Linked DNA regions of Notamacropus eugenii. The protein of the gene in region 2 interacts with the protein of the main gene of each other region in a pairwise test. Links are inferred from orthologs where the notes say so. Each region holds a gene or a part of one and is shown on either strand. Other genes may lie near its edges.

Evidence for each region. The genes of interacting proteins can lie anywhere in the genome.
Region 1: the proteins of MPPED2 (region 2) and CAGE1 interact in binary tests that used the Homo sapiens proteins (3 or more experiments, as listed by UniProt). The two-hybrid records come from large-scale screens. The link is inferred for Notamacropus eugenii from reciprocal best matches to the Homo sapiens genes MPPED2 and CAGE1.
Region 3: the proteins of MPPED2 (region 2) and RXRG interact in binary tests that used the Homo sapiens proteins (3 or more experiments, as listed by UniProt). The two-hybrid records come from large-scale screens. The link is inferred for Notamacropus eugenii from reciprocal best matches to the Homo sapiens genes MPPED2 and RXRG.

The regions. Positions count from the first base shown.
Region 1 is NC_092875.1:177,888,304-177,898,872, forward strand, and holds the start of CAGE1 (cancer-associated gene 1 protein), read right to left. Parts: upstream 4,130-10,569; 5' UTR 3,843-4,129; coding exon of another isoform or gene 3,830-3,842; 5' UTR 3,723-3,829; coding exon 3,701-3,722; intron 1-3,700. Other genes in the region: RIOK1 (serine/threonine-protein kinase RIO1), read left to right, coding at 4,553-4,623, 6,001-6,202.
Region 2 is NC_092877.1:20,714,480-20,724,472, reverse strand, and holds the start of MPPED2 (metallophosphoesterase MPPED2), read right to left. Parts: upstream 4,187-9,993; 5' UTR 2,849-4,186; intron 1,183-2,848; exon of another isoform or gene 938-1,182; intron 1-937. UniProt on the Homo sapiens protein: Displays low metallophosphoesterase activity (in vitro). May play a role in the development of the nervous system.
Region 3 is NC_092873.1:481,224,384-481,234,582, reverse strand, and holds the start of RXRG (retinoic acid receptor RXR-gamma), read right to left. Parts: upstream 4,130-10,199; 5' UTR 3,940-4,129; coding exon 3,891-3,939; intron 1-3,890. UniProt on the Homo sapiens protein: Receptor for retinoic acid. Retinoic acid receptors bind as heterodimers to their target response elements in response to their ligands, all-trans or 9-cis retinoic acid, and regulate gene expression in various biological processes.

The DNA of each region.
Region 1 (10,569 bases), on a different chromosome or scaffold from region 2:
TGGGCTGGTCATGTTGTTCGAGTGCAAAATATACACTTGCCAAAAAGACTGTTTTATGGAGAACTCGCATGGGGCAGGCGATCACACGGTGGTCAGAAGAAGCCATATAAGGACACTCTCAAGGTCTCTCTCAAGAACTTTGAATTTGATTGAGGGACATGGGAGACACTGGCATAGGACCACTCAGCATAGTGTGCCCACATCAGAAAGAGTGCTGTGCTCTATGAGCAAAGCAGAATTGAGATAGCACAAAGTAAGTGTAGGACGTGCAAATTTGGAGTATCCCCCTCAGGTGTTCACACAGACTATTTGTGCCCAGTCTGTGGTAGAGCATTCCAAGCTCATATTTGTCTGTTCAGCCACAGTTGGACACATTGAAACTTGACTTTATCATGGTGATGTCATTTTGGTCCTCTTTGAGAATGAAAGACAACAGCCAGACACTGCTAAGTACTGGGGGTATGAAAAGAGGCAAAAGATAGTCTTTGCCCTCAAGGACTTACAATCTAATGGGAGAGATGACATAAAAAACCCCCACAAAACAAGATATATCCAGGTGTCAGGACCTCCAAGGCAAGACCACTCCTCTCTTTTCTTACTATTAGGAGAAACCTTGTTTTCCAGAGCTAAGGCCTAGTACGCAATATGTGCTCTGAATTTGGCATAACAAAAATCCTTTGTGCTCATCCTCTGCATGAATTCTGCTGCAGTTAAATCACAGAATTCGATCTAGCCAGTCCCAGGTGGTTCCTGAACTCAGATAAGCACCTGCATGAACCACACTGTGGTCATGAAGCCCTACTATGCATAAACTTTTTTGCCACTAGGCAAATTTGCCTCATTGCTTTGGTTACACCTCACTGTCTGGTTCTTTGTCTATCCACAACTGTATGTATCAAGGCTTAGCCTCAAAGCCGTGGGTCTCCTCAGTCTTAGAGGAGGCCCTGGAACACGTTTAGTTTCCCTCTTCCAATGGAATAAAGAAGGCTTTTTGCTCATAGCCTGAGAGCTTACGTTTTCAGCGTCAATAGTTGAGGTACAACCTCCATGAGCTCTTTGGTATTTTCAGAGTTAACACTTGGTGTGTAACTTCTGTGGCTCTTTGGTTATTTATTTTCAGGTGACACAGGATAAATAGGAAATAATTAGCAGAGGTGAGGTGCTGGAATTAAGAGTAGCTGGGAGAGGTTTCCAGTAAGAGATGTGATTTTGGTTGGGTCTTAAAAGGAAATCAGGGAGGTCAGGAATTGGAAGAGAGAAGGGAGAGTGTTCCAGGCATGGGGGATGACCAGAGAGATACCTGGAGTTAAAAGATGGAGCCAGGAGGCCAATGTCATTGGATCAAAGAGTACACAGTGTGGAGTGAAGTGTAAGAAGATTGGAAAGGTAGGAGGGAACTAGGTTATGAAGGTATTTGAATGCCAAAAAAAAGAACATTTTGTATTGGTTCCTTGAGGTAATAGGAAGCCTGGAGTTTAATAAGTTGGGATGGGGTGACATGGTCAGACATGAGCTTTAGGAACTTTACTTTGGTAGCTGAATGGAGAGTGGATTGGAGCAGGGAGAAACTTAAAGCATGAAGATTATTTCAAGCTATTGCAATAATCAAGGCATGAGGTGATGAGAGCCTGTACCAGAGTGGTGGCAGCATCAGAGGAGAGAAGGGAGGCAAATTCAAAAGATGTGAAGGCTTTGACAAAAACTTGGGTGTGGAGGGTTAGAGAGAGTAAGGAATCCAGGGTGATTCCTAGGTTGTGTGAAGGGGCCTGTGACCTTGTTTTCTTGAGTTGCCTTATTTTCCAGAGATGAAGCCCCCCTGAACTAACATAACAGTGATTTTTTGCAGTTGGACTTTATTAAACTCTCAGCGTGCCCTTGAAGCTAAGTCAGCTACAAACCTGGCTCCGACCAACATAACCCACAGTGATAAACTGTGTAGTTGAGACCCTTTTGGATAAGCAGAATATCTTTCCTCCATGGGGAGGAGGAGGAGATTGAGCTTCTGCCTTTCTGCTTCCTCATCCTACTGCTCCCTTTCCCTTCCCATGCCACTATCCTTTGAGAGGCAATTATTGCCTTTCTCTCATCCCATAACCCTTACATATTCAAGGCCTTGCCTGCATTGTTGGCTTCCTCTGCACTCTATACAAGAAGGGACCTAGAATGCATGTTCCTGCAATAAAATAAGTTATGACTTAAGTCTTTTGGAGTTGTGACCACTTTTGAACAGTTGTGAGCCTGAGGCATAGGGAAGAAGGTGTGGCTCTCTATAGTAACAGGGAAGAATGGAGGGCAGCTAAATGGCACAGTAGATCTGAGTGCTGGGTCTGGAGTCAGAAAGATGAGTCTAAGTTCAAATCTAGCCTCAGACACCTACAAGCTTCATGACCCTCGGCAAGTCACTTAACTTGGTTAGCCTCAGTTCCCTCATCTGTAAATGAATTGAAGAAGGAAATGGTGAAACCACTCCAGTATCTTTGCCAAGAAAACCCCAAATGGAGTCACAAAGAGCTGGATGTGACTGATCAACCAAGGATGGCAGGGTTTAGGGGGAAGAAAATGAGTTCCATTTTGGACATATTGAATTTAAAATATCTACTGGAATCCAGTTTTAGATGTCTTAAAAGGCAGTTGGAAATGCAAGATTGGAGAATATCAGAGAGATTTGGACAAGATAGGCAGATTTGAGAATCATCAGCATAGAACTTGTAATTAAATCCATGGGAACTGAGCAGATCTCCAATAATGAAGCCCATGAGAGTTGATGATGTCAATTAAGCAAGAAAAGAGAAAAAAGGCCAAGGACAAACATTACCACAGTTAGGGGTATACCCACTTTTCAGAATTTGGACATCCAGCAAAGGAAATGGAGAAGAGGTCAGATGAGTAACACCTAGGAGAACCAGGAGGAAACATTGACATGAAAACTAAGAAAGGAGAGAGTATATAGGAATATGAGAGGGTCAACACACTCAAATGCATCTGACAGGTCAATGAGAATGGAGAGTGAGAGAACATCAGAATAAACACTGGCTATTTCGGAGAGAACAGCAGAGATGAGGCCCAAAACTAGACTGCAAAGGGTAAGATAATGTATGTAAAGCACTCAATACCCCTTAAGCCTGTATAAATGTGAGTTTGGCATTCAAAGCTTGCTGAATTTTTAAAAAGAAAGTGTTGTAGTCTATCAATTTTGATTGAGGACTCAAATTTCTAGTTACCCTCTGCATCTGTTCACTCTTCATAGTGCAGTAAACTACACCCCTCTTCCCCCAGACCCCCTCTATACAATCTGGGCAAAACGCTTAAAAAACAAACTCCAGAGCCTAAGTTAGGCTTTCTTCCCTCTCCCCATCATATCCCTGGGCTTTAGTAACACAGTACTGCCCCCACTTCTTTTAGAAGCCATATATATACCTGAATCCATTTACTCCACAGCTGTTCTTTTAAAAATCCAGCTGTTACATTAATGCTCTTTTGAAAAAAATAAATGTGTGGTATTTTCCTCCCAACTCTCCCTCATACCCCAATCAGTCCTTCGAGGTAAAACTAAAAAAACCCAAAAAACCCAATATAATTGGCCACGTGGGATAACTTGTAATATACCTCATTCCGCACCGGTAGCACACCACCCCTTTCTGGAGAGGCAAAGCACATTCCTGCTCTTAAGGTAGAGTTAAAGAGGAGACTTTGCACTTACAGGAAAACACTAGAAGATTCATCGTTTTCTTTAAGAGTATGTTTTTTCATTTTTCAAAGTTCTTTCACATTTCTCTTTTGATGGTCACCAGAGCCCCCCAACAGTTTTTAAAAATGCTCATGTGCTCACTTTCGGGCTCCATTGAGCGTTCCTGGGTCTGCAGCCCGGGTCTAGTGCTTCGTTCCTCCCGCACGGCCTGCCGTGTGCGGGAAGAGAGGTGTGGGACCTCTTACTCCCACAGATGGCTTTGGAAAATAAAGGCTGTTGGGAGCCAGGCGGCGCCAAGATTCCACAGTTGTGACAACTTGCCCGCGATCAGCCAATCCCAGAGCGAAGAACACGCCTGACGCGTTCTCTAGCCCCGCCCCTCTCCTCACGTGTCTTCAGAAGCTCAGGGCGTGGATTGGCTGCAGCTGTACGGGGGAAGGGGGCGGAGCCAACGGCCGAGCTGGTCTATGTGGGCCTATTGCACCCGTGCTTCTTTATTTGCTCCTGCCGTGGTGACTCCAGTTACCAACTTCCGGTCTGCCAGGACTTTCTCCGGGGTTCGGTGAAGTTAAAGGAACAGTCGTTTATCCGTGCTGTCGTTGGCTAACTCGCGGAGTCCTTGGTTTTTTTGGGGGGGAGGGGGCGTGTTTATTGTTTGTCCCTTTCGGCTCTCCGTACCTTCGTGAATTCCAGCCGTTCTGCTCTACGTGTGGAGCACGCGGCTTGCGTGGAAGAGCCGGAGACCACGTGGGCCCGGGGAGTGACGGGAGCATCCTCGGAGCCGGGGCGCCCGGAGCCCCTGCAGCTTCCTGTGCCACCGGCACCCCATCGAGCCCCGGCGGGCGAGCGCATCCTGCTTCCGCCATGAACTACCGGGAGCAGCTCATGAGCCGGGCGGTCCCGGGGCAGTTCGATGATGCTGACTCCTCTGACAGGTGAGAGGACCCGAGCGGCGTGCGTGGGGCTGGGGTCCCATCCCCCTGCGCTCCGGGGCTCCGTCTCCTCTGCCCCGCTTCCTGCCTTGGGCCGCAGTACGTGGCCGCACGCAGACCCTCCGAGCTAAGGGTCCTGCAGACTCCCCCCTTTAAGTGTTTGGGGTCAGGAGGTGTCTTTGTCATCAGAGCCCATCATTCCAAGCCTTTCACCGAGTTGATTTTATTTCAGTTCAGTTTCTTTGAGGAGCGAACATCGTTGTCCACTTGGCCCCATCCTTGACCCTCTCTCCTCCACATCAAGCTAAAGCCATCTGCATAATCAAACGAAACAATTTCTGCTTTGGACTTGTCCAAAAGATACAGCGTGACCCAAAAGTCTTGGTGCTTTTTAAAACCGTAGGAAGACTTTGGGTGTCTATGTTTACTGATTTTTTTGTACCCTAAAGTCCATCCCCTCTTTTTCAGGAGGTAAAGTAGCATATTTCATCATAAGTTCTCTGGCATTGTTTCACTTTTTTTTTTTGGTGTGGTCCTTGTCCTATTTTTTTTTTTTACTTTTCCCTCTAAATTTATTCATTTATTTGTTTTCAATTTTTCGCAATCACTTCTGTAAGTTTTAAATTTTCTCCCCTTCCCTCCCCAAGGCAGCATGCAGTCTTATATGGGCTCTATACACATATTCTTATTAAACACATTTTCGCATTAGTCACATTGCATAAAAGAATTAAAACGAATGGGAGAAAGCATGAATGAAACTAAACAAAACCAAACATAACAAAAGAAAAAATAGTCTGTTTCAATTTGGGTTCTGACTCCATTGTTCTTTCTCTGGATGTGGGTGACATTTTGTATCAGGGGTCCTTTGGAAATGTTTTAGATCCTTGCATTGCCTTAGCTATTTTCAAAGGCTACGGTGATATTTTGTTAATATGTCCACAATTGCAGTGTTGTCGTAAACACAGTAGTGTGTACATTGATTCCAGATGTCTCAAAATACAGCATTTTGTGCCTTTTTAAAAACAACACTTAAAAAAGTTTTCAATTAACAATAAATCTTTGTTTTTGTTTTACCTATGGGGAAAAAATCCCAGAATCCTTGGGATAAATATGCATAGTGAAACAAAATAAATCCCTTTCTTGGCCATTAAATATATATCTTAATCTGCACCCGTTTGTATTTTTTGAAGTTTGTTTAGTTATTTTAAAAAATTAACTTTGATTAAGTTTTTATTTCTTTTTGTAAAAGTGTCTCTTATTATTAAATGGAAGTACAAATGCCTTGAATTTCCTAATGACTTGAGATTCACACATCTGTGGCATTTTTGTCATGTTACCTTAGATCGCATGTAACATCATCTGAAAAATTCCTGTTTTTAGTGGAAGTACAACCAGCATGGAAACAAGCCAAGAGGAGGAAGATACATCTAAAAATTCTCACCAGACTTTGAATGAAGTTGATGAAGAAATTCAGGAAGATGATTATGAAGATTATGATGATGATGATGATGATTGGGACTGGGATGATGAAGTTGGGAAAATTACTAAGGGCTCTTGTTCATCTGGAGGCAGTAACCCACAGGTATTTTATAAATGAGTTTTTGATATCTTTCTAGTATGTACCTGTTTGCTTTTAATACAAGCTTTCATATCTACTGTATTGCTCTAAAACAAGATCAGCTAACCTTTTTTTCTGCCATGGTCTACTTTGATAGTCAGGTGAAGTCTGTAGGCCCCTTTTTGGAATGTTTTGTTGCCTACAGTCATAATTGGAGGAAATGATAAAATTCAGCTAAAAGGTTAGTGAAAATAAAGATGTAATTTTTTTCCCATTCAGATTCACTGACCCTCTGAAATATAGATTCTGCTTTAGAACTTAATACCTAGAAAAGATCAACTAGAATGATCTTTTCTTCTTGCTAATTCATTTTTCTCTATCTCTATATTTTGTTTTTAACATTTCATTCATTTCCAAATATAGCCTTCCCTTGATACAAAGAAGAAAATGGGAAAAAAACCAATTCATCAAAGCCAACTCATTCACAGTGTATGACAGAATATGCAAGCTTTCATACCTGCCTTTCTCAACTGTTCAGTTTTTATTCTGGTTTTTGAAAGGTGAGGTGATAATGCACCTTGGGTCATACATCTAGAACCGGAAGGGACCCAAGAGCCCATCTCTTCCAGACTCCTTGTTGTATGGGAGTTGTATGGGAGATGAAGACTAGCAGTAAATCTAGAGGTGGAATTGGAAGTTGGAGAGCCCAACCCAATGTTTTTGCTATTGGACCACACTGCCTCCATAGGGGACTGCATGTACTTATTTTGTGTAAATTAAAATCTAACATTTATGGATCTATAAAAGAAGAACTTAACAAATAATCTAAAACTACACCTTATTTGCAGAGGTAGAGAACTATAATTGAATGTTTTTCTTTTTTTTCTTTTATTCTTTGTGACAAGATTCGGCCTTTTGGTAATTGGGGAGAGACATTTGGAAATCAAGACGTAAAAAAAGTATAAAGAAAAATTAAAAATAAGATTTTTATAACACTAGGGAAAAATAATCTTACCTATGCATTGTGGTATAATGGAAAGAGGTCAGAACTTGAAATCTAGAGAGACTTGAGTTAGAATGCTGCTTCTGTGACCATAGGCAAAACCTGTCTCTGAACCTTAGTTTTATCAACTGTGAAATGGAAGTAATTCCTGTAGTGCATACCTTATAACATTGTTAGGAACATGCGTGCCCACACATACACACACACACACGCTTTTAATAATCTTAAAAGTGCTATGTAAGTGTCAGTTATAAAAATAACTTGGGTCAAGCAGAGTTGAGTATTTAACTAGGATGATTTATTATTATACTTTTGGTTACAGTTTATAAGTTTGTGTTTATATTTGTTAATTGTAGAAATTTCAGGCCAAAAAACTCTCCTTTTTATCTTTATTTTCTGTTTATTTGTGATTTATATATTCCATGTAATGTTTTTTTTCTCTTCAGGATATTCTTTTCTTCAATTTTTATTGGATACCTAGTAAGTGCTTACTGTGTAAGCATTGAGGAAGCAAAGGAAGGTGAAATGGTTCCTTTGCTCTAGGAGATCACATTTCAGTGGCTGAGACATATCCCCACCAGTCTACATAATATGTAACGTTTCCCTGTATGGAACATTGTTTCATTTCATTTTTATTAAGTGCTTTTTGTGTTCTGGGTACTGGGGAGAAACAAAGGAAGGAAAAAGCAGTCCCTGTGCTCTCAGAGCTTATATTTTAATGACTAAGACATTATAAATAACTTAGGTCCATACAACATCTGTCCAGAGTAGATGGGAGGCAGTCTGACTAAGTAGGACACTAGCATCTATCTGGTAGAGAAAGACCTCTTGCAGAAGAAGAGATTTGAGTTGAGTTGAGTCTTGAAGGAAAAACCAGGGAAGTTAAGAGGTGAGGTGAGGTAGGATGGGGGTGGAGGCCAGTACAGTGGCACAGAGATGAGAGTGGAAGTGCAAGTGGGCCAGCGTTTCTGAGTCATTGAGTATGTGGAGTGGGGTAAAGTACAGGAAAAAGGCAGGTTAAGAAGGGCTTTAGATGCCAAAGAGTTTGTTATTGGATCCTGTAAGCAATAGGGAGCCATTGGAGCTCATGGAGCAGGGGGATCAGCATGATCACATCTGTGCTCTAGAAGGATCACCTTGGCAGCTGAATGGAGGCTGGATTGGGGTGGGAAGAGACTTGAAGCAGAGAGGCGTTAAAAAAGATATAGCAGAGGTATGGGAGAGGAGATGAACGCCTGAATTAGGGTTATAATTGTGAGTGGAGAGAATGAGACATTTGAGAGATTTTGAAGGTAGAAATGACCAGATTTGGCAACAGATTATGTTGCAGAGGGATGCAAAAGTAGAGTCAAAGATGAAACCAAGGTTGTAATTGAGAGCATGGTGGTACCCTTAAGAGTAATGGGAGTGTGGAAGGGGTATTTCTGAGGAGGGAGGGAAGAAAAGGCTAATATTTTCTCTTTTGACCATGTTGACATTAAGATAACTACAGGACATCAAGTTCCAAATGTCCAAGATCCAATCAGTGATGAGGGTCTGTAGCTTGTGAGAGAGGCTAGAGCTGGACATATGTGTATTGAGGAATCATCTGCATAGAGATAGTTAAACATGTGAGAGCTGATACGTCACCAAGGGTGGTAACAGAGCAAAAAGAAAAAGCATACCAGTGATTGAGCCTTGGAATGAAGGTCATCTGCAATTAGTGGGCATGACTTAGGTAAAGAACCAGCAGAGGAGCCACATAATAAAGAGAACCATGAGAGAGCAATCATAGGCATCTGGAAGGGAGAGAGAATCTAGGAGATCATCAACAGTGTCAGGTGCTACAGAAAGATCAAGAAGAATGAAATTTGAGAAGATTTACCCTTATGAGCTCAGTGGCAGTGTTAAAGAGGGCAGCTTCAGTTGAATGATGACAAAATAGCCAGCAGTTATATAGCTTTAAAGTTTGCAAAGTGCTTGACATAGAGTGTCTTATTTAATCCTCACAATAACACTGTGAGTTAGATTGTTACTCTCATCCTATGGACCAGGTTATGAATGGCTTTGGGAGCCAAATTGAGGTTTTTATATTTGATATACAGTATCAAATACAGTATACAATGTGTCTAAAAGAGAGAGAAGATAGAAGGTATCTGAAAGAAGCAATAATACCAAAGACATGGAAAAATCTCAGATCTTGTTAATACTGGGAAAAGTAACCAAGGAAAGATAGTTAGCTACAGTCCTACATTCCTACACTCTCATCTAAGGAAAATCTTTGAGAGTTTTATATAAATAAATATATGGGCATACACATGCATATGTATGTACACACATAAATTAAGGGCTTCTTTCATGAAGGTATTATTAGTAAACAAAGGAAGCATTTTCAAAAAATGATCAACATCGGACCACGTCTTTACCATTTCACAGTTAACTAAAATGTAAAGACTATATGAGCCCGCTGTGCTAATTGTAAATTATGAAAAAGCATTTGATTTGGTAGAACACATATGCCATTGTATGATCTCTTCTATAGAAAAATGTCTCTTAGTCATACATTGTGATTCAGGATTCCTTGGAAGATGTAAGAACAGTAGTAACTGTTCAATGACAAGAAATGTTAGTTGAAGCATAAAACAGTGAGATGTATTCTTATCAAAGATTCCCCACTGATGATGGGAAGAGATAAAAGTGCAGTGCCCATCCATTGATGGTGAGATGTTCTAGATGAGCTTGTTTGCAGATGGCATTGGGCTGACTGCATCTTCCCTCAGGGTATTGCAGAGCCTCTTCAAAGAGATCTGTAATCACTCAAAGGAGTTTGACTGTTCCATACATATAGGAAAGACTAAGTTGATGAAGAATGTCCTTTTGAAGAATGAATGAAGAGTGCTCAGAATGAAGAATGCTCATATTTCAACAACTCTGGATGTTGTCCAACTGCGTGTAAATAATCTGACAGTGGGTGAACTGGAATCAGATTTGAAAAGGAGGGGAAGAGAGGACTAGATGACTTTGAGGGAATTGCAAACTTTTTTAGTGACCTCAAGCTTCATATGAAAGCAACGATATCATTTTTGATATTTGTATTTTACTGGTGTTGCTATACAGCAGCAGTGCGTTGTGGAACAACATCACTATCTCCAAAGAACTAAAGATGAGTGAATATTAGAGAGTGATGGGATGCTGATAAATAGGCAGTAGTAACTCCAAAGAGGAACAAAGGTAGAGGGTGTCTGAGGAATTGTAAGGTAAGAAAATGAGATGGATTGGCCACAAGGTGAAAGCAAGAGATAAATAGGTGTACAATCAAAGTGCTTAACTGGTATTGATGATGTTGAACAAAAGCAAGAAAGGCCCTTGGCATGGTAAGATAACACACTGTGGTGAACTTTTAGGTGAA
Region 2 (9,993 bases):
CATAAAACAGATTAACCCAAATACCAGATTTTTGCCCTTTTCTCACTTGAAGACAGCCCACATTCATTTTGTTCACATTAACACATTCTTCCACCACCACCCCCCAAAAGTAAAACCCTAGTTTGTGTCAGTAAGCCTCAAGAAAAATACAAAAAGGTGTAGACGGTGCCAAAATCCAGCGTGCTGGTGCCTGCTTGGTTATCTCTCTTGAAAAAATCATGTAAATCTATTTCCTATTTCCTAGATAGCAGCCACTTGTATTCTTCGGTTGTTCAATGAAGAATATTCATTTTCAGGAATCTGGTCAGAAGCCCTTTTAAAAGTCTGCCAGGAATTTAAAAATTTAAAGTAGGGGTTCAACGGCCCTCCCCCCAAAAATCCTTCAATAGGACAAGTGAGAAAGGGCAAGGCTGAGCATGGTACCTGTCCCAGCCTGACAGGAAAGTGGGTTGTTTTCTTTCTTTTTTTTTTCCCCACAGGAATGTCTGGGGGAGAAGAGACCAAGCAACATGCGAAGACTTTGCAGGCAACTTTGTCCAGCTTCCTCCCCACCCCACTTCAGTCCCTAATTATTTCTTTTTTTATTTCTCTCGGTGCTACAGTCAGACCCACACCAAGGATGCTCACTCACCCTTCGCTAGGAATGCGCTCCCAGCTGCAGAAGCAGAAAGTTAGAGAGCTGCAGAGGCACCAAAGCTTTCTCCCCCACCCCTCACCCCTAAATATACCCCACCCACACCCGAACTTGGGTCCAGCGCCAGGTACACCGAATATTTTCCTCTAGAAAGAGGGAAATCTCAGATTTGGGGAGTTTGAGAAAGGTTTACAACATAGGACTTAAAAGAGAAGGGGGACAGTCTGCCCCTGGCCCCCTGAGTGCATGCATGCACACACACACACACACACACACACTCTTACACACACACACACACCCCACCTCCTCTACAGGTTCACGTCCTGCTAGTACTGTCTACAGCTCCCCCTTTCCTTCCTGGTGAGCACTCGCTGGCTGCTGCTGCTGCCGCCGCTGCTTCGGCTGCTGCCGCCGCCGCCACCACCAGCAAGGTCGCTGCCGCCCCTCCTGCCACCCTGCCGCACTGGGCTCCGCTGTTGGGTGACTGCTCCTTCTTCCTTCCTTTCTCGCTACCTCCCTTTCTCTCTCTCTTTTCACCGGTCCCAGATTGATTGATTGCCATCCGCGCCCAATAGCTCTGACACCGCACCATCCCCGGTTTTGTACCAAGTCCCCCTACCCACCCGCCCCCTCAGCCCCCCCCTCCTCAACATTATGCCTCCCCAGCGGGCTCCGCTGCTCTGGGTTGGCATCCTCCTGATGGCCAATCCTAAATCGACCCTCGCCAGAGCCCCCCGGAGCCGTCGCCGCCACGGCCACCACCATCCACCCACTGCTGGGCTGGGGCGCCTCGCTTCTGTCCGAGGAGCAAGGAAGAGGGGGCACCACGAGGAAGGGACCTTTGCCGGTGGTGTACAGGGCCATAGGGAGGGTGGCAATCTTTTTCTTGCACTTAAAGTTTTTCCCAACCAGTTTCTGTTTGTCCTCGGTGCTTCACGATCAATGCACCTTTTTTTTGGCCCGCATTTGGACTTCCATGTGATGGGGGTCGGAGGTGGTGGTCAGAGGTGAGAGATGAGTTTTGGGGTGGAGTGGACACCGCGGGAAGGGGGGATCCTGGCTCGTCCGAGCCTTTGTGTATTTCGTCTCATCCCCCTACTCCCACCCGGGTGTCTCCACCTCCCCTTTACGGGAGAAAAAAACAATAATTGCCCTTTCCACCTCCTAGGCCGCAAGACCCTGGATTTGCAAGGCTTCCTAAGCCCTCCTTCGCTTACGGGGACCCTCCACCAGCAACTCCAGCTTCGGAATAAAAAGAAACAATCCCCGGCGATTTTTACTTTTCTTACCCCCACCCTCCACCCCCACCCCAAGCTGTGCTGCTTCCAGCACCCGCGGAGGGGGCGGGGAAGGCGACGGAGGAAGGAGTGAGGTTAGGGTGGAGGGGAAAGGGTGAGAAAAGATACACACACGCATGCACGCACGCACACACACACGCACACACACACACACGCACACACACTCACACAGCCACAGCCACGCGCGGGGCTCCCGGCGCAGAGCCGCACTGCCCCCCGATCACAATGCCTGCCGCTTTTCCTGTAACTGTACTTTGCATTGTGCCCCCCTGGCTGCCCGCCGCCGCGGCCGCCGCCGCTGTTGCCTTGGTCTCCGGCAAACACAATGCACCCCGGCCTAGCCGGGCCGTGCTCTAACATTATAACCCCGAGACTTTCTAGTAAACAGGCGGCCGAGCCAGCATCCCCACCCCCCATCTCCTCTGCCTCTCGCCGCCACCAAATCACTTCCCTTGCAGGGCTCCCTAGCCCCCCTCTTCCCCACCAACCCCCTTTCTTCCTCCACCCCCCGCTAGGAGAAAGACACCCTGGAGAGGTCGGGGTTGGGGGCGGGGGGCGCAGGGAAGGGAGCGAGAAAATGCTTAGTGGGGAAGAAGACAGCTCCTAAAAATAATTCTGTTCCACTCCTGGAAAACAAAACCTCTTGAAACGCTTATTCCGAGTCATACAAATTGCACTAAAGTCGCCTTATTGTTATTATTTTAAAGAGCAGCTAGGAGCAGACGCTGCCTGCTGCCTCAGATCCAGCCCCATCCTCTTCTACTTGTACATGACAAGGCACCTCTAACCCGCGGCTTTGTGTGTGTGTTATTTTTTTCCCCTTCCTTTCCATCTGATTCCACCACCACCACCACCCCCTCCCTTCTCCTCCTTCCCCGCTCCCTCCCACCACCACCCCCCCAACGGGGTAGATTACCTTTCTCTGGCTGGGATGTGGGTCTTGGAGATGCCTTCAGTGCTCTGAAAGGAGCCGATCCATAGGGGACTTGGAAAGAGCTGGTTAGAGAGAGGGAGAGAAGGAGACAGGGAGAGGAGAGAGGCGCTGGGGAGGTGGAGGTTGGTGGAGGCAGGGCAGAACCTTCGACCCTGGAGGTCCCACCGGCTGGCAGGGTTGGGAATGAGAGGGAGAGAGGGAGAGAGGGAATGAGAGCAGCCTCGATCTGAGGAGAAAGAGAGCTAGGGAGAGAGGGAGAGGGAGAGAGGGAGAAGGAGAGCGAGAGGCGAGCTGGAGGAGGGAGCAGAGCAGTGCAGTGACAGGGACTGCCACTGGGGTCAAGAGAGCAGAGCACCAGGAAACAGGGCGGCCAAGGAGCTGTGTGTGTGTGTGTGTGTGTGAGTGTGTGTGAGTGTGTGTGTGCGCGCACACCCAGACACCCAGACACACACACGCCCCGCCAGCTTCTCCTGCAGACTCCCACTTCACTTCCCCCCACTAGGAGAAGGGGGCCAAGGCTTTCCTCGGCCAAAGTGCGGCTCTCCTCCCCTCCGAGGGGAACCTGGGGGAAGAGAAAGGGAGGGGGAAAGGGCTGAAAAGGAGAGAAAGGCAAGGAGCAGATCTGCTCTCTGGTGTCTCAGGTCAAAGGAGGCAGGAGGCAGCTGAGCAGCAAATTCTTCATCATCATCTTTGTTATTCTAATAAAAAATAACCAAGGCGGGAAATTAGAAAGCTGGGGAAATAAGAAGGATTCGCCCTTCTCCACCCCATGGGTATTTTCTGCAAAGAAAACACCCAGCCATGGACCTGCTGTAGCTGTCAGGCCCCTTGGCACCTTCTCAGTCCACCGAGGCTTCTGCTGGGGCTGCTCAGGGGCTTAAGAAATACTCGGATAAATGAAATGGGCTGCAGTTTCTTTCCCGATCTGCTGCTATGAATTCTTACCTTATGGAAGGGCGTCTTCCCTTTTTCAGCCCCTTTTCAACATACACACAGCCCTCTTTTCTGTGATCCTATGGTCTTGATGTGTGTATGATTTTCCTTCACGAAGAAAATGAGGCAAGAGAGGGAAAACTGATATATACATATATATTTTTTTTCCAGCTGCAGAAATTAACTCAAGATCACAATTAGAAAGGGGAGAGGCTAAGAATCTAATTATTCCCACTTTTGCATTTTGGAGACTATTTTCTCCTTCATTCATAATTCCTTATGGGAGGAAAAAAGCAACTTAGAAGTTTTCTTGGCTACATTTTTTAAAAGGAAGAGACTTTCAGATTTGCATGCAAATAATATAAAAGCCCCTTCCCCCCCCCCAAAAAAAAACTAATGAAAACCTAGACAGCAGAGGAAAAGAGAGAAAACATTCTTTGGAAACTTGGTTGATCAGTGCTGTCTGTGAAAGATGAGTTGGCCCTGTGATGTGATGCCATTGTCAGAACTGAGGATTTGGATGACAACCAGGCCTTCTAATTCCTTTCCAGAAGTCAGACTCAAAGATCTAGACGTTCTCCAGAGAGAAATCCAATGTATGTGTATGTGAAAGAAGTGTGCTAAGTACACTATATGACAACTGACCAGACATCCAGCTGAAATTATTGCCCCGGAAAATAAAAAGGAGCCTTGTCAACCCTGGGTCTGTGGCCTTCAGCTGTAAGATGAATTTGTTTTCAGGTTCACTTTGGGGGTGGCGTGATGACCAGGAAAAAACATCAGGCTTCACCTGCAAAAATTACTATAAAGAGGAAATTCCCAGCATTAGAACTAAGGGAAAATTGTCACAATCTCCATCCTTTGCACTGACGTGAAAGGGAAAATAACCATTACGTGGCTGGGAGAGCCAGAAATTATGTTTGTTTAGGGTTTTTTGAAGGGGTATTGGGTGGTTTACAATTAGATGAGAGTCCAAGTTTCAGCGCTGTCAAATTTAGTTGGAATTGAAAGTGCACTGATTTTTCCTGGCTTGTATAAACTCCAAGAACCAACAGAACGGGACACAAGACAGCACTAGGTATGTACCTTTTTGGTTTTCATAATCTAGTAATAAATGATTTCTGTACTGTATTCATGTTTTAGAAGTAATGCTTCTGCCCAGCTCACGGTATGTTTGTATGTGTGTGTGTGTTTGCATGTGTGTGTAGTGTATGGTATATCCCTAAAAGCCTACTAAAGGAACAAACTAGCTTAAGTATTTTGTTTGACTTCTTTCATTACCCAGAAAAGGAGTCAGTTAAAAAAATTGTCATGAGTCAGACTTTTTCACTGTCACTCAAAACAGTCCAACCAACTTGTGCATATAGCTCCAGCTGAAAAAAATACATATATAGAAATATATGTACATGTGTATTGTGTGTATACATGTGTGTATAAATATACATATGAGTGTATACATGTATGTATATGCCTGTGTGTATTTATTATATATGTGTGTATATTATTGCCCAGAGAGCGAGTATAATGATGCCAATACTTTCTGTTTATTAACTCATTTTATACAAAGATTTTTTAAGGCTTAGTAAAAATCAAGTGAATGAAATCTTAATTAGCTGGTGAATTATTCATAATTTGATTTTTCTATTTGGGAAAAATTAAGGCACGTGGAAATTTAGCAACATGTCTTACTTAGTGCATGTTCATGGTGGAAAAAGAAGTAAGACTTACTTCATTTTTTGCTCTTCCGTTACAACTACTATTAGTATCAGAAAGAAGAGATATTAACCATTTCATTTAGATGATGAATTTTGATTTTGCACCGGCTACTTAAGAAAAAAAAAACCCAAACCAATAGCAACCAGAATATGGAGAAAATTAGGTGAATGAACCGAACAGTGAATGAGGGGCAGAAGGTCTTTGTAGCATGGCTTTGTGTTACAATGGGCTTAGATATAGCATCTACAACTATAACTATACAGTGAAGGCCTCATAGAAAATATATAAATTATTTCCCTCGATATTAGTTTTAAAGGGGAGAACTTCACTGTACTGTGTTCCAACTGCTTGGATTGAATTTTTAAAAATAGGTTCTACAACTATGCTTGCTAACAAATTTTTGTATAATGCAATTTTTTTTATTGTTTATAAAATAATACCAAGAAGGATTTTTTTTTTAAAGTCAAATTCCAGAATGATTGTTGTCTCAATGAAAAAACCACCAAAATTGCATCCTTATAAGGCACCTGGTTGAAATTTTCATTCAGGAGTTTGATTGAAGTCACAGAAAGTAACTCTTGGTACACTAATTTAGTGGCTTTTAAAACATCCTTGGCAAATACATTCAGTAGAGAAAACAATAGAGAGTTGAATGGGGAACTTGGGGGTTGAATCTTAAGAAATATATTGAAGGCTCCTTGGCCTTTGGTTTTCAGTAACTGCACCCCAATAACAATATTGTGCTAATCCAGGGATCTATTCAAACTAAGTCCCATCTTCTGCTCTTACTGATTGACATTGTCACTGAAATCACTGCACAGGGAGAAGGCAGCCTCCCTGTTTTCTCCTTGTTCTATAACTAATCTACATTTTTCTAAATACCTAGAATAATGGTTAATCTCCAAAATGGAGGCTTCTAAAATCAGATGGAAATAGAATCCACAGACATAATGCATCAAAACAAGGATTAGTCTACAATGTTCTTTCCCTCATTTTCAATTTAATATTTAATAAACTGTTTTCTTTCTCTTCTTTCCTATCTTTTTTCTTTTCTTCCTTCTTCCTTTTGCTTTCTTGCTCCCTTTCTATCATTTCTTCCTCCCTTCCTCTTTTCTTTATTTCTTACTTTCTTTCCTTATTTCTTTCCTTATTTCTTTCCTTCCTTCCTTCCTTCCTTCCTTCCTTCCTTCCTTCCTTCCTTCCTTCCTTTCTTCTCACTCCAGGTCATCAAGGGAAGGAATTAATGGTTCCCATTTTTTCTGTATGCCTCATGGTGTTCACCTAGCTCAGTGATGCAAACATAAGTAAGTGCTAGCAAATATGAATTGAACAGATGGATGAATGAAGTATCTAATGAAATAAACTATAAAAGAAAATAAATCATTTGTGCTCCACTTGCTTGAAAAAAGTATTTTTTAAAGGTTTAACTTAAAGCTATCATCACAGGATACTGGACAAATACACACGCCTTCTCTTTCTCAAAATATATGATTTCAGAATTTTTACCCAATGTCTTGGCAAATATAGCATCGTGCACATCACAGAGACTCAGTGGGCAAACTAAAAAGCAACTTTTCACACAGTTTTAGGAAATGGAAGATTTGGGTCTCTTTCCCTTAGAGGCATCCACCTTTAAAAAACAAATCTGACTACCAGAAGTATTTTTTATGACGTGTAATATCTTTGGCAGTATGCAAAGGGGGGGGGGGGGAGACAGACATGCTATTTGAAGTTTACAAGAATAACCTTGCCAATAAATACACATCAAAGTAACTTGTATGGTTACTTCAGTTCTTTAAGGAATCCTTGAAGTTCCTCAAATAAAAAGAAAATATTCTGCTCTCTTGTACTTAGTCAGCTAATGTGGGATGGGAAGTCAATTCTGGCTAATTTGTTAGGGCAATCATACCACATCCAGAGCTACTGGGTGAAAACTCAAAGATATGCACACAAAGAAAAGGTTGAAATTGTATTTCAAAAGCATCGTCTCATCAGAAGCTGTAGGATTGAATTGATCCAGGCAGAATGCTTACTAAAAAGAGAAATACTGTATATGTGTTTGAAAAAAATACCCTTTTGCAAAACGGTGACAAGGTCATATACTTAGCACTCTTATGATGCTCATTGAGCCAATATGTAATATGCTTCGATCAATAAGTATTTTTCCAGTGTCCGCTGTATGTAATGTTACGTATCAGCTGTCTAAAGGGAACTAAAATCATTGCTGGAGATGAGGATGATTTTTTTAGAAGTAATAATGAAAACATGGTGACATGGTACCTTAAAGTTTGAACAGCATACACATCCACAAATATATACATATGCACATGTACCTAACACAAATATACAATATGTTTTATATTATTAATATGTACATATATTCTTAATAGACCAAAATTTTAGCTTAAAGTGGGCCTTTGCTTTTGCTGTTCAGTAGTTTCAGACCCATTTGGGGTTTTCTTGGTGAAGATACCAGAGTAGCTTGCCATTTCTTTCTCCCACTCACTTTACAGATGAGGAAACTGAGGCAAACAGGGTTAAGTGACTTTTCCAGGGTCACACAGCTGGTAAGTATCTGAGACCAGATTCAAACTCAGGAAGATGAATCTCCTTGACTTTAGGCCTGGCACTCTACCCACTGTGCCACCTCTTTTTACTGGTATCAATGAATTCTTATTGGGCCTTCCTAGATCTTCCTAGGCTCTCTTCCTGGATAGCCTCCTGCCATATTGGGTATATGCCCAAATTTGGCTTACGTAGGAGAATGTAGCCATGGCTTGGGGTAATTTTGCCATTGTTTCTTTAAAACATACACAAAATAACCTTGTTTGGGAAACAAAAATGCAGGGGAAAAGTGTTTTGTTTTCCTAGTTTTAATAAGCTCATTTATTTACTCACACAAATCGATCAAATGTCTACTACATGCTAGATAGTATTTAGTTACTGGGGATACATAGATAACCCTATTCTGCCCTCAAGAAGTTTCTGTTCTATCGGAAAACGGAAAACATACTAATGCTTTGATAGGATGGTTTTCTTTCGTATTCAAAGCTCTATCAACACCTTTTCTGCAGTTTATACTCTTAGGCAAGAAAGCTTCACCAGGGATCAGTGAACTTGTTCTGTTCTGTTTTTAAATATGCTGATAACTCTATTCCAACAGAATTGGTATCCATTGGCATTCCAAGTGTGTTATTTAATGCATTTAAAAGCAGCATTCTGAAATGGAATCCATAGGCTTTACCAGACTGTCACCGGGTGATTCATGAAAAAAAAATGATGAACCTCTGCCTTTGAGAGTTTCCTAGGACACAGAGAGTTTAGGGGACTGGCCCAAGGCTACCCAGCCATCGTGTGTCAGAAGCAGGAATCTGCTTAGAACACTGAGAGGCTATGTGAATAAAATTTAAAAACCCATTTGTTAATTTTATTAACATGCTTTTTACCAGTTTACTACTTCAATAAATCACTTATAAAAGAAGGTCTATATGCATTTCTATTCTGTCAGAGCTGGCGGGGAAGGGGGAGCGGGGTTTGCAGATGGAAAGGACTAGGGAGCATATTCACCTGTTCACTCCTCTCTGGCAAACCTCTTCAATCTTTTCTCCATCTGGTCATTCCAATCTTACCTCCAAGCCATCTGCTCTCTGTCATTCAAACAGCTCTTAAGATATTGGTGAGGCTATTCAGCCTTCCAAGAACAATCCAAGGGGTAGTTGACCATATCATCTAAACCCACCCTGTTCAAACAGGTAACATAAGACCATCTCAATGAGGAAGAGACTTCAGACATCATCTGTTCTCACTGCCTTTTCTTTACAGAGATGGAAAGCAAGACCTATAAACAGGAAACAGGACAAAGATCTCCAAGTTTGGGCACTTCTCCACCACAACATACTCTAATGCCTCACCTTCACCCTTATCTTTATCGACTCCCATTCCCAGCAACAAGTTTAGACTTCTTTAGACATGTGGCGTACAGATATAATTATTAACTTTATGCAATATAAATACAGTACTCGATCTATTTTATTAATAGATTTGTTCATTCACTACTGTGTGGGGATGAAGTTGAAAAATGTGTTGTCATCTAACTCTTCTGCCCACATCACTAATTCCTCTTCTGTTCTCTAAACTCTAGTAGCCTATGCAAACAGCTAATTTATTTTTACCTGATAATGTTTTTCAAAGTCATAGAAATAATGTCAATTAGCAATGGTTTCCTAAGCCCCTACTATGCTCTAGATACTGTGGGAGGCATCAGGAATAAGAATACATTAAGATACTCCCTATCCTCAAGAAGCTTGCTTTATCCCACCAGAGGATACAATATATTCATAGATTAATAAAAGCAGACTGTAGCCAAAATAAATGAAAAGCAATTTCAGTGAGGGCCGCTAGCAACCAAGGGAAATTTCTAAGTTCCTTGAAAGAAGTAGCACTTGGGTTGACTGACTCTAAAAAGGAGTTAAGAGTTA
Region 3 (10,199 bases), on a different chromosome or scaffold from region 2:
TAGCTCGTTTTATATGTGCAGAGCATAGCAATTTGTTAACAGCAAGAGGCTGAGGCTACAGAGAAACTCTAATCTAGTCCTGGCCTTTCCGTCATTCATCCCTCAGTGTTTTCCCCAAGCCCTGGACCAGTGCACATCACTTTGATGCTAAGCACCTGTATCTGACATACTCGAGCCCTGTGCTTTGGTGCAAATTTCTAGTTGTATTCAAATACAGTTGTGGAGAATCAATAGAGCTCATCCAAACCCTCACTGCTCTTCTCTCTTGAGTCTGAGAGGAAAATACTTAATTTAGGTAACTGTCTCTCTAGCCTTACTCTCCCAACCATCCCCGTTACATCTGTGCCCCTTTTCCCCTTCCCCATTCACATTTTGGAGTGTCATCATCACTATGAAAGTTTGTGCTTTTTACCAACGGAAACCTAATCACATCAAACTCTGGGTCATAATTACCAAATAAATTCCATGTTTATAGAAACTTTGTTTTTATTATTGTAACAGCAACTACATTTGTTCTTCAGAAAATGATCTTGGTTTTATGTTTACAAAGTGATATTTCTAATGAATTTACATATATTTATTTGAAAAGATTGGACATAGTGAAAAGATTACCAGCTCTACGGTCAGAAGACTTTGGTTCAAATTCTGCAATGGACACTACATTATCTGGGTCTGTTTCCTGTAAGGTCCTGTCCTGCTCTGTACACAAATCATAGGCTAATACATTTAGAGTCTAGATGCATCATCCTACAATTCTATGAATATATTTGATCTAGCCCTACACATTTACTGAGGAAGTCCCAGTGTTGACACTCTCCATCAAACCAACAATCATAGAGCTACATGGGGCACTAAGAGGTTAAGTCACTTTCTCATGCTCTCATCACTAGTATGTGACAGCCATTGGAGTTGAACACAGGTCTTCCTTACTCTCGTTTACATAATGTTACTCTCTGAAAAATATAATTTTGATGATTTTAAGTTTATATAATAGTAACATAACCCTGATAATTCAAGCTCTTCCTTCAGAGGTCTCTGTCACTAACTAGCTTTGTGACCTTGGAGAGGTCATTAACTTCTATTTCCTCATTTGAAAAAATGGGATGATCTCTCTTTAAGATAAAAGGAATCTCTAAAAATTCAAAATCTAGGAGAAAGAGCCCCTGAATTCAATTTGGTTGAATTCAACAAATATTTATCAGGCACCTACAAGTGCAAAGCACTGTGCTGGATATCTGAATTGAGGTTGATATATTTCGTCACAACCTAAACTTTGTTCAGATTCCTCTCATTTCTCTTTACTTTAATTTATCCCCCCACAACCACCTCAATTCACCTCACACGCACCTCTCCATAGCTTTTCACCAAGCGGTAGACAAAATAACAAAAAAAAAATTTCTTTCATCAAAAGAGTATTATTATAAGTAAAGAACTTAAAAGGTCCTGGAAAAGAATGGTCCCACATAAGTACATTCCTGAGGCAATTGTACTCCAAGAGAAAGAAAGCAGCTGTTTACAATTCTGCGTCCATGACACACACCCTAACCCTGGGGTTCAGAAGTCTTTTCACACCCAGTATCTTACTGGAGACTGGAGACAGATAACAACTTGCTGCATGAAGCTTCATCAGTCACCACTTAGCCTCAATCCAACCCATCCTTCATTCTTGTGCTACAGTCTTACGCTGGTCTCCTCTACTGCCGATGGACCTGACCACTTTCTGGACTGATTCACTCTGTGGTATCCTAATACCTGGGAAAATGTCCTTCTCTCTAAAGATGGATGACAAGAGGAAAGATCCACTAATCATCAGGAGTTTTTAGATCCAGATAACTCTGGATGAATTGGCTACCTGTCCAGTGAGGAAGTGAGAAAGGATTCTGCCTTCAGAATTTCAAAAAAATCTCTGCCTTGCTGGGCTCAGTCCTAGTTTTCTCACCTGTAAAGTCTCACCCCTGTAAGTTCCCTCTTAATGCTGGTGCCTTCCCTTCCAGGTTATTTCTATTTTATCCTGTCTGTATCCTACTGGTATATAGCTTGGAGGAGGTGGGGCTGCTGTCCCTTCACTCTGCCTTGTGCTGCCTGAAAGTGACACATGGCAAAGATTCCACTATGGCTACTACAGACTGTGTGAAACTGTGTGGAACCCCAGCCACCAGCCTAGAAGTGAGAACTCTGGTCAAGCAGTCATTTATTTGGTCTAAATGGTTCTGCCAGAAACTCTGAGAGTCTTTCCCTCCCAGATTCTTTTATGAAGGCAAACTAGGCCATCTTTTGCCTCAATTCTTACCCATCCTTTAATTACTGAATGGGCACTTTCTCAAGACAAACTGAGACCTAGGAAAGACCTTAGCTTCAAAAGACCAGGGGCCCCCATTGCATCCGAGGCCATTGCCAGTCATCCTGACCTGTATCTTGCCACTGGATTTCAACAACTCCAGAGGAGAGTGAGGCTGATGACTCTGCACAGTCCTGCCCCACTTAAATCCAACTCACTTGCAAGTCAAAACATCACCCTCCTGATGTCATTGGTCTGTTTTCAAGAAGGGAGGGTGAATAATAACAAGAATCTGGTTTAAATACTGCCAGACAACCCATTTGGATGATTCTACCACTAAAAGAACTGTTTTCTGACTGAACTGATTACCCATTGCTCTTTTGTGGAAAAAGTCTTCCACAGAATCTTGAAGTTAAAAATGACCTCTCATAATTCAGTCTATACCCGGAAAAAAATGAATTCCTTCCATACCAGACAAGTGGTCATCCTGCCTTTGCTTAAAGAGCTCAATTGAAGGGGAGCCCACTTCCTCCTGAGGCACCCCATTCTACTTCGGAACAGCTCTACGGCTTGGGAAGTTTTCCAGACCTCAAGACTAAATCTGATTCTCTCAGAATTCCCCTTCTTGCTCCTAGAACTGTCTTGTGGGGCCAAGATGAGCAAGATCAATCTCTCTTCCATGTGCCAGCACTTCAAATGTTTGAGGACCTTTATCATTGCCTCCCTACCCCCAGCCTTCTCTCCTCCAGACTAGACAAAAGCCCTTGGAATGACTCCAACATGTGTAGTATCATGTCCATGTTGCTCCCTCCTTAAGAGGAAAACTTGATCAGTCAGGTTGATGTTTACTACCAAAAATAAGATTTTTACATGCATGATGTATGTAAATCCCTCACACACATACATATATGGAAATTATGGTAATGACAGATATAAATAATGACATGGGGAGGGGAAGAAGGACAGGGTATTCAAGATTTTTAGGATAGGAGAGGAAAGAAAGAAAAGACAATGGCAAGTTATTTTTCCAGAACACCTAACACTTCAGTCTGATGGGTAGAAAATGGTACTTTTCCAGAAAACAACCCTATCATTGTTACCAAGCCTTTTCATGGCGGTTAATATTTTCAAAACCTTTGACAATAGCTTTTCTTCCTGATAAGTAGTATAGGAGGAATGTAATCATACTTTTATTATTAACTATTCTACTTCCATGCACACTAGCTCCCACATGAATGCTCTTATTGTATCTTAACTCATTCTAACACATATCGGCCCCCATAATACTCCTCTTCAACTCATCTTCTCTATACACACCACACAGTCTCACTTACATGCAATATACAGTATCTCTCCCTCTCTCCCTCCCTCTCTCCCTCTCTGTCATTCTCCCTCTCTCTCCGCAAACACACACACACACACACACACCTTCTATCTCACTTCTCTTTCTTACACACCTGTGTATATACACTTGCTCTAACAATCCCAGTGAATTATTCCTTTCTGGAAGGATTGGGGGGGTGGGGGGGAGCGAACCCACAACACATTTCTCCTCCTTATCTCATTCTATCATACCAAGGTCCAGCTAGCCCCGTCCAAGTGACATACTTACCGCCAAAGCCTGCAGGAAACTTCATGAAGTGAGAGTAATTTCCATACATGTTTACTCTTCAGTTCATCTTTCTCTCTCCTCTCTTTCTTTCCTCTTCTCAATAGTGCTGCCTCTCCCAGCTATTAGGCAAAGACGGGACTCCTTCAACTTGGTGTGGGAAGAGCGATCATCATCCCCTGGCAGCCACTAGGAGTACAGGGGCTGTCCGCTCACGCTCACGGAGATTAATTAGGAAGGAGCCTGTGTCTGGACGGGAGAGCCTTCAGAGTGCGTTAAAGGCAGCTGTGGCGGCAGCAGCTGGTGTGTAAGTCAGGGCGCATGCTGCTGTTGCTGCCGCCTCTGCTGCTGCCGCCGCTGCTGCTGCTACTGCGGCGGCGGCGGGGGCTGCCCCTTAGCTTCAGCTCAAGGCTAGGTTTCCGTTCCCCAACTATCTGAGCTCCTTACACGTTCGCTGAGGGCTCCATCAGTGGCGCGTTCTATCAGCTGGGAAGCCAATCGATGTCTGACCGCATCGGCATAGGACAGAAGTGAGGAGGGAGGGATCAAGCAATGGGAAGACTCTTTGGGTGCCTTTGCTTTCTGTGATATATTTCCCCCTCCAAAAAAAGATAAATATGGTTTTATTTAAAAAGGCATTTTCTCTCTCTCTAGCATTTCCCCATTCGTTGCAGCTGGTATTTGACCTGTGACAGGAACTGGGGAAAAGGGAGGAATGAAGTTCTTCCAAGAGAGCACAATGCATACAGCAAGAGACTGAGCCATAGGATCATGGAACCAGAAGCCAGGACTGGGAGGGAGTGAAATTTCCTCATTTTACAGATGGGGAAATTGGGGCCCAAAGAGTTGAAGTGACTTTCCCAAGGTCACACAGTTGATAGAGGTAAGATTTGAAACTTCATTCTCCAACTCCAAAGCCGGTGTTCTTACCACGGTACCTCTCTGCCTCCCCAAGTATAAGTAGATAAAGCTTTCTTTCTGCAGGCTATGGGTTCTCCTGACTATGTTGTCCCTTATGTCGCTTACCAGCTTCACCTGAGAGATTCCCAAGAGGGGGACCTGAGGGCCTGACTTGGCAAAGGAACAAAGAAAGCCTTCCTTCCACAGAAGAGCAGAATGTTGGACAGCGCCAGGCTCTGTTCTGGGGAAGGCACAAGAGACAAAAGGAAAAAATGACCCCTGCCCTCAAGGTGTTTCCCTCTCTAGCAGCAGTGGGAAACTACAGTAGCCTTTAGCTTCTGCGGAGACTCTTTCCTGGTCTAATTTTCTGAAAGCCTTTGCCATCTATCACATCTCAAATGAGAGACTGGTGAATTGAACTGCGAAATGCTCTTAGACACAGCTCAGTCACAGTGGGAGAGGCGACAACCTATCAAGGTAGAGAGGGAGTATTGACTGGACCCTGGGGTTATTTTCCTAATGTCTCTGTGGAGGAATACATTAATCATTTCAAAGCACTATATTTATCTTTTCACTCTCCTGTCCAAAAAAGAAAGAAAGAAATCAATGACTCCTAGTTACCACAAGACAAAATCCCACTTCTGACATTTAAGAAACTGATTGCAATCTGGGGTTCTAGCATACTTTTCCAATCTTATTTTTCACTTCTCCTGCTTCAGGAACCAATTCAATCCAAATATTGTACTGGGCACTGGAGATTCAGAGACAAAATGAAGACCACTCCCTAGCCTCAAGGAACTTACATTTTACTGGGAAGATTACATAACACTCTGCCTCAGCCAGACTGTTCCACTCTCTAGCCTCCAAACAATCCATGTTTATTCCCCCTCCTGTACTAAGAGGTAAGGTGCAAGAAAGCATATCGGTGGGTCAATCAGAAAATCCGGATTCCAATCCTGATTTAGCAATTTACCTTTGGCAAGACTTAGCCTTAGTTTCCTCACCTATAAAATCCTGCTTTCTGTAAGAAGCCTTTCCTAATCCCTCTTAATGCTAGTACCTTTCCTCCAAGGTTAGTTTCAGTTTATCCTGTCTATATCTTCTTTGTATACAGTTATCCTGTCTATATCCTCTTTGTATATAGTTGTTTACTTGTATCCCTTCATTAGAATGTGAGCTCCTTGAGAGAAGTGAAATGTTTTGTTTTTCTGTATCCCTAGCACTTAATACAGTGTTTGCACATAGTAGGTGCTTCTTGATTTAACATGAGGGAGTTTAGATTAGAAAATCTTTCAAATCCTTCCAGTTTTAAATCCTTCTAAAATGCTGTGCTCCTGCCATTTGGCTCCTCATTTGGCAAACCCTCCCCTCTGTTCTGTTTAACCATCTTACTCAATCTTTCAAGCCTAGTCCAATTCTTATCTTCTCCCATAAGACTTTCCCTGACTTCTGCAGTACAAAAAAAAAAACAAAACCCTCTCTCCTACAAACTATCTCTTATCTCACTTAATTCCTCATCATCAAATCTTCTCTTTTGACACTCCTCTCACTGTTGCCTTATGTTATCTAACTTCACACATATTATAGGTCATGCATTTTCCAGAATTAAGAGTTAGGTCAAAATGTTCTGAGTGATTATAGATCTAATTTGGAAGAGTCTACCATGTTCTAGGGATTGATGAAAACAACATCATCTAAAAACAAGATTAGTGATCTGATTGTCTATAGGGAATACTTCTTCAATGGGGAACTTCCTGCACTGGTTTTTCTCCATGATGGTGGCAATCATATCATTTTTAAAGCCTCTGTTGACATCAATAATCCAAGGGTCAATGAACAAAGATATCTGTTACATCTGTTGTTCCTCTTTTAAGGAAGATTGTGGGATTTTGACATATGTAATCAAGGTACCTAGTTGAGGGGCAATTTTTAAGGAGATGCTTTGCTCTACCAAACCAAATGACCATAAGATGATAGCTTTAGAGTTGGAAAGAGTCCAATCCATTCATTTAAAGTGTTTTTTTTTTATTTTTAAAAGCACTTATTTTGTCTTCCTCTCAATTTCCCTCAAAAAATTTCAAAAAGGAAACTCTTGTGGCAAATATGCAAGGTTGTACTAAAAAAAAAATAATAAAAGGCATGGTTTCAAAGAAACCTGGGAAGATTTGTATGAACTAATGCAGAGTGAAGTAAGTAGAACCAGGAGAACCATATACTATAACAACAATATTGTAATAATGGACATTTTTGAAAGACTTAAGAATTCTAAGCAGTGCAATGATCATATTCTTCATTTTATAGGTGAGAAAAATGAGGCACAAAGTGTTTAAGTAACTTATCCAGGGTCACATAATTTTTACAACAGAAGCTTTGTTGGTGCTCTATTGCCTTTAGGTTCAAAAATAAACTGCCCTGTGTTTGACATTTGAAATCCTTCTCAATCTGGCTCTCCCTAGTATATCCTTCTAAGTTGATTACATATTAGTTCCCCTATGGTACCCCACACTCCAGTCAAATCAAACTGCTTTGTTGTTGTTTAGTCATATCCAATTCTTCATGACCTCATTTGAAGTTTCTTGGCAAAGACGCTAGAGTGATTTGCCACTTCCTTCTCCAGTGCATTTTATAGATGAGGAAATTGAGGCAAACAGAGTTAAGTGACTCACTCAGGGTCATATAACTAGTAGGTGTCAGAGGCTAGATTTGAACTCATGTCTTCCTGACTCCAGACATGGCACTCCATCCACTGTGCCACCTAGCTTCCCCTGATACTAACTGCTACTGTTCCCCATGTATGACATTCCTTTGACCGTATGCTTTTACATAGGCTGTCCCCAATACGTAGAAAGCTCTCTCTTTTCTCTTCTGCCTCTGGGAGGTCTGAGCTCCTTTAAGCTTTATCTCAAGTGCTACCTTCTACAAGACATCTTTCTCCATCTCCTCAGGTGTTAATTCTCCCCTAATCACTGTGCATTTTGTTTGCTTGTTGTGGGCATGGGTATGGGTGTGTGGGTATTTATTAACATATTGTTTCCTCCAGTAGGAAGTGAATCCCTTAATGGCGGAGTTGTATCTGCAGGGCCTAGTACATTGTAGGTTTCGTCATATATAAAAAATAGTGATTATACTTTCACTACTTACCCATAAGGCCCTTTGAGAAGTAAATAAGACAATGTTTATAAAGTGCTTTGTAAGGGTTCAATCCCTATAAAAAGAAACATAAATCAATAATCAATTTGGTGAACTTTGGTAAAAAGCAGTTCCCAAGATTCCCTGAGATCTCAGAAGTTTCCTGCTTACATCATCACTAGAATATTGCTTTTATACCCTTTGCCCAAAAGGCTCACTGCTGAGTTTCAGGACAACCATCAAATAGCCCCAGTCTCTCTCACAATGTCCTGACTCACAACAGTCATGGCGGGGAAAAGAGAGTCAACTCAAATGGCCCCATTTGCATCAGAGCTTCCTGGCCCACAAGCCAACGAGTAACATTGCCCTCCTTTTCTGGCTGCTATCCAAACTGTTGCCTGTGGGCTAGGTACCACTGCCTTCATTACTACTACTAAGGGCCATGGCATTATTGTCTCCTTACCCTCTCCATTTTTTGCAGTGGTCTGTTATATCAGATATAGAAGTCCTCTTGGGACAATTGGGATCTGGTCCAGTGACCTGTCTTTGGGCAAAGAGGAAATAAAGATTACTTTGTCTTACAGGCTGTTTTTACCTGGGAGGGTCACTGAGTGGAGTGGGGGTAATTCTTCATGTGAACCCTTAGGCTCTGAGTGATTTCTTCTACCAGAGGCAGAGCTGCTTTGGGACCACCCCATTACAGTTGATCATTTCTATATATCTGACTGTCCTGACTTGCTGAGGTTACCCCATCTGGTATCCTGACACTGTCTGGACTATATCTGGGGTGCTCAGTATCTGGCAAGACTTTAAGACACAAAGCTGTCACTACCTCATCTTTACTTTTTTGCATGAGGTCAGAAATCCTGCTTTGGGTAAGAAACTTTGGTTGTTAGCTAAAGGCAAAGCCAACTTGTCTGTGTCCCCTGAGGTACAGGTCCTACTTTGGGATTGTGTGTCTATGTCCTTTCAGGGGATCATCATTTCTTGCAAGACAATTGGCTTGGAGGTTCTTGTGTAAGACAGAGATACCTGAGACAATACCTTTACTTGGAAATAATTGGAAGTATAACAGGAAGCATTTGCCTATGATGCCAAAAGTCAGTGATTCCACTCACTCCAACAACAGGGTCATAGATTTTGAGTTGGAAAAAGCCTGAGAGGTAGCCTAGTCAAACCTTTCATTTTACAGGGAAGAAGCAGAGTCCTAGAATAAATAGCTAAATGTCTTGCCCAAGATCAAATATGTATTAAAAAAAAGAGCCAGGACTTGAACTCAGTTTTCCTGCCACAAATCCAGTGCTCTCTCCCCTGCACCATGCTGTCTCCAAATAGTCGTTGTGCACTCATAAACATATCACGTTGTCCAATCCTTTCAGACCCCATTTGGGGTTTTCTTACAAAGTATTGGAGTGGTTTGCCATTTCCTTCTCCAGCTCATTTTACACATGAGGAACCGAGGCAAACAGGGCTAAGGGACTTGTTCAGGGTCACACAGCTAGTAAGTGTCTGAGACTGGATTTGAACTTAGGTCTTCCCGACTCCAGGCCTTGTGCTCTATCCATTGTACTACCTAGTTACCCCCAAAATGTATCATATCACTATATCATGACTGACAGTCAAAAGGATAGAAATGAGCATGTATTAAGTTTCTACTTTGCTAAGCAATTTACAATTATTATCTCATTGGATCCTTACAATAACATTGGGTGGTAGGTCCTATTATTGTCCTCATTTGACCAATGAGGAAGCTGAAACAAAGATTAAGTGACTTGCTTAGGGTCACACAGCTAGCAAATATCTGAAGCTAGTACTGAAGTCAGGTTTCCCTGCCTCCAAGTCCAGACCTCTATCCACTGTGCCCCATAGCTGCCTATGATCCCTAGAAATGAAGAAGAAGTAATTACTTCATGAATTGGAATCCTATCTTTACTCTTGTGGATATTTTGACTTTCTCATTGAACTATAGTGCCATCAGTAAAATTATCAATGAGATAAATGGAATATAACATGATGGATTATTCACCAGTCCACATGAATTTCATGCTGACATACCATAGCAAGGATCCTGGCCCAGTCCACACTTCCTTATAGTGACATATGTGGTCAAGATATCTGGTCTTTCTGGACTTCAGTGACTCTGGAAGAGAGCATGAGGCTCTCTGTAACTCTGTACAACTCTTCTGTGCTTACATTCAATCCACACTCAAGTCAAGACATCACTCCAGTCATCATTGGTCCTCTTCAAAAATTAAGGATGAGAAGCATCTCACAAGGTTGTTC